Linked DNA regions of Mus musculus. The protein of the gene in region 1 interacts with the protein of each later gene in a biochemical or structural test. Links are inferred from orthologs where the notes say so. Each region holds a gene or a part of one and is shown in the gene's direction. Other genes may lie near its edges.

What was found. The genes of interacting proteins can lie anywhere in the genome.
Region 2: the proteins of Noxo1 (region 1) and Noxa1 form a complex in vitro, tested with the Homo sapiens proteins (2 studies listed by IntAct). The link is inferred for Mus musculus from reciprocal best matches to the Homo sapiens genes NOXO1 and NOXA1.

What each region holds. Positions count from the first base shown.
Region 1 is NC_000083.6:24,694,721-24,699,060, forward strand, and holds the start of Noxo1 (NADPH oxidase organizer 1), read left to right. Parts: upstream 1-1,513; 5' UTR 1,514-2,276; exon of another isoform or gene 2,277-2,404; intron 2,405-2,916; exon of another isoform or gene 2,917-3,006; intron 3,007-3,499; 5' UTR 3,500-3,622; coding exon 3,623-3,688; intron 3,689-3,796; exon of another isoform or gene 3,797-3,797; coding exon 3,798-3,878; intron 3,879-4,065; coding exon 4,066-4,141; intron 4,142-4,224; coding exon 4,225-4,340. Other genes in the region: Gfer (FAD-linked sulfhydryl oxidase ALR), read right to left, coding at 534-730, 1,111-1,347. UniProt on the Homo sapiens protein: Constitutively potentiates the superoxide-generating activity of NOX1 and NOX3 and is required for the biogenesis of otoconia/otolith, which are crystalline structures of the inner ear involved in the perception of gravity.
Region 2 is NC_000068.7:25,085,090-25,088,737, reverse strand, and holds the end of Noxa1 (NADPH oxidase activator 1), read left to right. Parts: intron 1-1,538; coding exon 1,539-1,608; intron 1,609-1,710; coding exon 1,711-1,799; intron 1,800-1,963; coding exon 1,964-2,118; intron 2,119-2,437; coding exon 2,438-2,552; intron 2,553-2,650; coding exon 2,651-2,765; intron 2,766-2,883; coding exon 2,884-3,014; 3' UTR 3,015-3,071; downstream 3,072-3,648. Other genes in the region: Entpd8 (ectonucleoside triphosphate diphosphohydrolase 8), read right to left, coding at 3,586-3,648.

The sequences.
Region 1 (4,340 bases):
TTTTTTTTTTTTTTTTTTGGTTTTTCGAGACAGGGTTTCTCTGTGTAGCCCTGGCTATCCTGGAACTCACTTTGTAGACCAGGCTGGCCTCGAACTCTGAAATCCGCCTGCCTCTGCCTCCCTTCAGTCCAGTTTTTAAAGCTGGTAACTAAGCTGAGAGATTGGCTTGAGCCCCATAAGGAAGAGCTATAAGGACTGGGCTTTTGAGGAAGGAGAAGGCCCCCAAACCCCAACATCCCTTTTGGTGTCCCCTCTCCTAGGAACCTGTCACTTCTGAATCTACTGTTCTAGGCCCCTCTCTATGACATCAGCTATGCCCCCCCCCCTTTTTTTGTGTTTCTTTGAGACAGGGTTTCTCTGTGTAGCCCTGGCTGTCCTGGAACTCACTCTGTAGAGCAGGCTGGCCTCGAACTCAGAAAACCACCTGCCACTGCTTGCCAAGTGCTGGGATTAACGGCGTGCGCCACCACCGCCCGGCATCAGCTAGGCCCGCTCTAGGGACCTTACTGACAAGAGGTATAGCCACAACTTACCTCTTCCTTATGTCTTCCGCACATTCCTCGCAGGGGTAAAACTTGGAAAATATATGTATGAACTGGGCCATATCCTGTTGTTGTTCTGGCGTGGGCCTGTCCGGGTAATAGGCGGCCAGCGTATGGAGGAAAGCCCAGGTGTGGCGACCCAATTCTTCCCGATCCTGTGGACAGTCCTCCCTAAACTTGATGTCCCGCTGCAGAAGTAGGCCGACTAAAGGTCAATTCACTCTTACCCAACCAGAAAGCCCATAAAATTCCAACCCAGTGGCAGACTGCTTGCGTTGTACGCCAGAGGCCTTCGGTTCGAATTCCCATTATCACTAATAATAATCATAATAATAATAATAAAGGAAACAAGAACGCTCCCTTTTTCAGTTGACAGCCTACTAACTCGATCTGACTAGCCAGTGGCTGAAAGCGCAAAAGTTTGAGCCTAACGGTGTGTGTGGGTGAGGGGTAAACATGTTTAGGCATAGCCAACCCTGAGGGTTTGGGCCGTGCGGTAGCCGAACGGGAACCTGGAAACCAGGTGTGTGGGGGACCGGGACCGGGCGGCCAAGCGGGGCATCTGCACCTTCTGCTGGGTCCGCATCCACGACTTGAAGTCCACGCAGGCCCGGCACGGTCGCTTCCCGTGCTCCAAACCTTGCGGCGCCGGGGCCGCGGCAGGGGTGGTGTCGTCTCTATGCCTTGCGCCGCGGCCCCGCGCGTCAGTCACCAGGTCGTCGGTCATCTCGGAGCGCGCGCCGCCCGGCAGGAAGGAGAAGCGACTGCCGCGAGGGAAGCCCGCCGGCTCGCTGGGCGCCGCCATCTTGCTGGCGTGCGGGCAGCGGGGCCAAGAGGGCGTGCCGGCGACAGTTCGGAGGAGCGTGCACGCCACCGCCGGCGCGCGGCGGCAGGAGCGGGAACCGCAGCCCGGGGCTGGGCTCAGGCCGGGGCAGGAGGCGGGGCCTGGCGGCGGGGCGGGGCTGGGGGCCGAGGCGGCGGCCCGGGTCGCGGAGGCGTAGGAGGCCTCGGGGCGGGAGGAGGCGGCGCCGGAGGCCCAGGCCGAGGCGGCACTGGCGGCTGCGGCTCCGGCTCTGCGGGTACTCTTGCGCCTGGTGACCCGCCGCGAGCCCGGCGTGCGTGGTCCATGGTGGGGTTCAGGCTTCCTCCGGCAGATGTGAAGTGTGTCGTGGAAGGCGCGCTGCGGCTGTGCTGAGATCTTGGACTGAGATGAGTTCCGAGATGCTTCTCGCATCACCCCCATCGCTTGGCTCAGACACCTAAGGGCGGCAAAATTTGGGGTCTTCCTGCCTTACGACGTGCCCACCTACACGCTTCTCGGTGCCTTAGCAACGCGCGACGGGGCGTGGCCTCACAGAGACCAGACAGTACTTATTGCCAGAGGCTACCTGTGCCCTAGTAACTGTCCCCCACTGCGCAACCTTGAGAGAGGGCGTGTCCTCATCCTCTAGCTTGGATAAAAGATTATTATGCCTATTTTAATAGCAGCCTCAGGAATTTCTTCCTTTTTTTTTTTCTTTTGGAGACAGGGTCTCATGTAACTTGGACTAACTTTGAACTCTGTATGTAGCTGAGTGAAGATGATGTTGAATTCTTGAATCTTTTTGCCACCACACCACCTCTTCAAGTGTTTGACTTAAACGCCTGTGCCATCACAGGAAGAATTCCTTCCGCTGCCTCCATGTGTTCATTTACTCTTTCTGCAAATATTTGTAGAGTGGCTGCTCTCTCCAGGTGCTGTTTCCTCCACTGAGCAGAACAAGGAACAAGCCTCCCTCTTTAGCCTTTAACCAGTGATGCAAATGCGGAAAACCCAGTACACCAGAATCATATTTACAAAACTGATGAAAGCTGTGCAGGGGGTGAGGAGACCCTTAGGCACAGGCCTTTGGGATAAGAAATCAGCTCAAATGCTTGACATTTTACAGAAACACCAGTGACGCTGGGGGCAGGGTCTAGGGAAGGTAGAGGAGATAGAGGCAGAATCCAGAGTCCGGCAAGGCCTACTTATGACCATGGTAGCAACTGGCATTTTTTTCCCTAAAAACAGAGATGTTGGGCAATTTGGGACAGTGGATTTTGTGTGTGTGTGTGTGTGTGTATTTCAAGACAGGGTTTCTTAGTGTAACCAGTCTTGACTGTCCTGGACTCTCTTTGTAGACCAGGCTGGCCTTGATCTCAGAAATCTACCTGCCTCTGCCACCCAAATGCTGGGATTAAAGGCATGTGCTACCCCACTGAGAACAGATTTTTTTAAAGAGACAGGGAGGAACCCAGAGTTGGGGGCTCCTCTGTGTGCATCTGAGAGAGGCAGTGGCTAGATAGAGTGAAGAGCATCTAAGGTTGGGAGGGGTAGACAGGGGCTGTCAACTGAGTGGTAAGAGGGGCTCACAATTCCTCACTTTTCCAGCTTCTGTCTTCTGACTTCCAACATTTCTGAAAAAAAGCCAGAAAGTTATTAAAGGTAATGCCAAGACTTAGCTAAGTAAGGAGATTGGCTTTATGACCTAGCTACTCGGGAGCCTAAGACAGTAATATTCCCAACTTTGGCAAAACCCTATCTCAAAGCAAAACAAGACAAAAACAACCAACCAAAACCAAACCAAACCAAAGCAACCAAAAAAGGACCCAGTAGTTGACTCAAGGTTGTCTGTGTCTGTAACATACTGTACTGTAGCCCAGGGTGGATTCAAAGAGCAAGCTGTTAGGCACACCCTGGAGGAGGTCACAGCAGGATGAAGAGGCAGAGGGGGCAGGTGAAGTTGAGGCGGCAGGTGCTTTGGTGGTGGAACTCCCTACAGTTTTTCTTCCCCTGACTAAGGAAGGAGAGGAGCCCCAGGTGGTTCTGTTTGAGAACAGTCTTGTACAAAGGGCCTTTTCTTCCATCTGCCCAGGCTTGCCCCTCCCCCTGGCAGTCTTCCTGTGATGAATCCTCTCTCGTTTTTTTGTGCTTCAAGAACCAGGAAACTGAACTCTTTCCTGGATTGTGAGTGCTTCGAAGGGACTCTACTTAGGGCAGTGTTGGGGAATTCCACTTCACTTCTTCCGGATGCTCGGAGCTCCTTCAAGCATCCATAGTCATGGCAAGCCCAAGACACCCAGTATCAGCCCATGCTGTAGCCTTGGTGCAAATGGACCGACTCCAGGTAGACCACACTGCCCCGTCCCTCACCCCTGCACCGATTGTCTCCAAAGATGCAAAAGGAAAACTGGCAAAGACTGAAGGAGATGTCGCCTCTACCTTTCCTCACACAGACATTTGCCTTCTCCGTGTGCTGGTCAGACAACAGTGACACATTTGTGCGGAGGAGCTGGGATGAGTTCAGGCAGCTCCAGGTAAGTTAACACTGGGACTATACTCCAGTGGGTATTGGCTCCAGTCCAGAGTCCTCTGGATACTCCATCTGTGGATGACCTCAGTCCAAGGACCTCCCCTTCTGCCTGTAGGAGCTCTTCTAGGGACCCTTCCCTCCCTAGGGGGTTCTCTCCATCTCAAAGACTAACACCTGCTCCTCCCCACCAGAAGACCCTTAAGAAAACCTTCCCAGTGGAGGCAGGCCTGCTACGGAGATCTGAACAAGTTCTTCCCAAGCTTCCTGGTCAGGCCTGTAAGGGTCATGGGATGGTAAGGGCAGTGTGCGTGAGTGGGGCCCCACAGTGTGTGCTTGTGATACCCGGGCAGATGCTCCATTGCTGACACGTCGGGGGCATACTGGTCGAGGACTGGTACGTTTGCGGCTGCTGGACACCTATGTACAGGCATTGCTGGCAACCTCAGAACACATATTGAGGAGTTCA
Region 2 (3,648 bases), on another chromosome or scaffold:
AAGGACCAAACAATGTCTTCCTTCCTGGCCATTGCAAGCCTTCCAAGCCCTTGTGAAGAGGAGTTAGGCAGGAACCCTTGCTTCCCTGGAGCAGGCCCATGAGCCAGTGGTGAGCACTTGAAGAAAGCTTGACATGAGCTTATTGCAGGACACAGGACAGTCAGTTCCATGTGATCCAGTCTTTAGTTCATTATAATCCAACAGTGCAATGTCCTTTTGAACAATTATACCCAAAATCCCTAGGACTTAAACCTGCATCTGCCAGCCCCTGTCCTGAACTGTAAGCTTCATAAGGGTCACACAGTGAATTTCCATAGTGTCTCTTTAAGACCATTTCACAAGCCACATCCATGAGTGTCCCACAGAGGGTAGAGGTCCCCACCTCCTCTCCAACTCAGGGCACCCTAGGCTGGGCACCTCCTAAGACTCTGTCCTGGACCTCTCAGGGTCAGTGGGGAAGCCAGCATTGAGATTTAAGGATTGATAGAAGACCTAGGAAGTAGACTGACTCTCCACTGATGCAGGGCAATCTGTAGACTCCAGGCCTATGGGGACTCAATTGTATCCCAAGGCATGCCTATGGTGTGGGCCTACCATGAATTTACTCCCAGAGAAGTTTGGATAATGACTTCCTACTAGCTGCTGGCTAAACTCCCAGACTATATCTTTAACCGTTGACCGTGCTAGGACAGAGTCCAGGGAGTTTCTGCCCTGAGTCCAGACCCACCATCTCAAGACTCTTGTACTCTAGGTCCACCCTCAAGCAACACACACACACACACACACACACACACACACACACACACACACACAAACACACACACACACACACAATTGTTTATACAAACCCAACAAAGGCAAAAACCCACCAAGGAACATCTAGGAAACACTACCAGACAACACCAGCAAGGCCAGCATACAATGGAAATGCATCCTTTAACAAGGGCACTCAAGGATGCAGAACTCAACAACTAGAGAGTAGCCAGGTTACCAACTCAAGTGCGAGCTGAAGACTTCGTTGGAAGGGAAAGGATAGGAAGGCTATAGTCACATTTATTCTACTTGATTCATGGCACAGAACAGATCTATGTAGATATAATACAAGAGCTCACACTTGGAGCAAAACCCTCCTGAGTGTCAAGGCTGAAGTGTGAGTTGCAAACTTCTGAAGAAAAGGTTAACTCTATTGAAACTTGGCCAAGTGTCTTACCTGGACTATACTTTACCCTTACCTACAAAATGCTCGTGTAACCTCTTCACATACAGAGTAGGCTCTCAACATCCAGCTAAACATGCTTTTCAGTAGAAGAGTGTAGCCCCTATCACACCTGAAGGAAACTTGGCAATGTAAATAGTAAAAGCCCTGGTATGTGTTCAAATTGTGCATAAATAACTTTTAAACAATTTATACACAAATAGTTTTGTATAATGTAAGATGTAACAAAACTAACTAAACAAAATGTGTTACCATGGCTGCAGCTGGCATGTGTGAGGACCCACACTTGTGAGATCCCTTTGACCACTGTCTACCTTTGCAGAGGTCCCAGGCGGAGCATGCTGGCCACCAGCCATCCTCATCTATGTGTAAGAGGGTCCTGAGCACTACGGGTAGGAGGAGCCTCTTCAGGAGAGCTGGGGCGTGGGCACTTGTCCCTTAAGGAAAGTTTGGGGTAGGGGCCAGCTACTTCAAAGTGTCTCCTTTATGAAAAGGTGGTCACACGAGCCCTGGCCTATATGATAGTTTGCTGGCATCCAGAAGGCCTGGTCCAGGCCCCTCTGAAGTTTCCTCAGGATCTGAGGTAAGAGCTATCCTGCTCTCCAGTCCCCTCTCATCAGCCACTTGGAGCAAGGAAGGTCATATCTCAGATTCTCTTTGACCTTTCAGCCCAGCCTCTATTCTGATTCCTTGGCTCCAAGAATAAACCTTCCTTCAAAGGCTAAGCAGCCCTGTTTTTGTCCTCAGGGAGCAGCTACAAAGGACCCTGAATCCTTGGTGACTGTCACTGTGCAGTGCCACTTTACTGTGCCCCTGAAGGTCCCAAGAGGAACTGGCCTGTCCAGTTTTCAGACACTACTAGCTCAAGCCCTCCTTCACCAGACGCAGACAGGGCAGCTCAGGTAAGTCAGAAAGCTGTGAGCATGGGGACTCTAAGCTACGGTACAAAAGGATGGATCTGAGCTACGAGGAAGTGAGGGCTCTTCTGAACTGAAGAGAAAGACTTCTGTTGTTGTTTTGCTCTGAAGTCGTCATTTTTCAGGCCCAGGACAGGATCAAAGCTAAGGCTCCCTTAGCTCTAGGCCTAAGAATCTAGGCAGCCACTGGAAGTAAAGGCCAGGCACAGTGGAGAGCCACAGAAGTTAGTTTCCTTTAGGGAAAGACCAGGTAGTAGGTACTCCCCCTACATACTGGAGCTCACCCTCAGGACTTCCTGTGCAGTTACAAAGCCCCAGGAGAGGAGAGATCCTGGATTCCCATCTCCACGGAGGAGTCCCTGCAGAGTATATGGAGGAATGTGCCCGTGGGCCCAGGAGGGTTGCAGCTCCAGTGCCAGGTGAGCCAAGGGGAGAGACCATGATGCCTGCTGTGGGCATCCCAGACAGTTGGAAGAGAAGCCCCTCTGCTGCCCCTAAGCCTACCCTTCTGTTACAGGGGGTCTGGGGCCGGCCAGTCCTCTACCAAGTAGTAGCTCAGTACAACTATCGTGCCCAAAGACCGGAGGATTTGGACTTCCACCAAGGGGACACGGTGGATGTCCTGTGTGAAGGTAAAAGGCTGCCCTTTCCTGCCCGACACTACTGGCTTGCCCAGGCCTGGTGGGGACTCTGCTCTCTAGGGCTCAGTCTTTGTTGTAAGCATACACAGCACCCAACATGTCTCCACAGTGGACGAAGCATGGCTGGAGGGACACCGAGATGGCTGCGTTGGCATTTTCCCTAAGTGCTTTGTGGTCCCAGCTGGCGCCTATGTGGAAGCCATGCTTGTACTGGGACCCCAGCCAGGAGACCAGAACTAGCAATAAATACCATGACAAAACCAGCTTTAATTAAACAAGCAAACAAGCAAACAAAAATGATTCCCTCATTCCCAACTTGATCTATATTCTGGGATTGATGATAAAGAGAATCCAACCACAGGCTCTTGTGTGAAGAAGCTGGGCTGGCCCCAGAGCTGGACTCTGACTGTCTGGTCTAGTCTGATATAGTGAGGAAGCAGGGAGTCTCTGCTGGGCTGGCCACAGCCTTCTGAGGTGGCACTATTCCAACAGCTGCCTCTCCTGTTTCTATCCTATGGACAACATCAGTCCCCATAGCCAGTGCTATCCTGAGGGCATAAAGGAGTCAGTACTATCAGCAATTGGCCCTCCTGGCCCAATTGATGGACTGGAGTCCTTAAAGGTCAGGGGTTCATAAGGGCAGGCATCTAGGATCTGCTCAGAAGGTCCTGTGTGCCAAAGGCCTTCTTTCCTAAGAACAGTTGATGGTGGATCACAAGGTTGACAACACAAACAGCTGTGTTGTCACTGTTGACTCAACACTTCTGCTTTAGATATTGTTGACTGTGATCTACTTCAGCTTGGTTTCTACCTAGTCCTGGGTCCAGAAGATCTGGATGGCAGCTGCCCCAAGAATGGCCACAAGGGTCAGCAC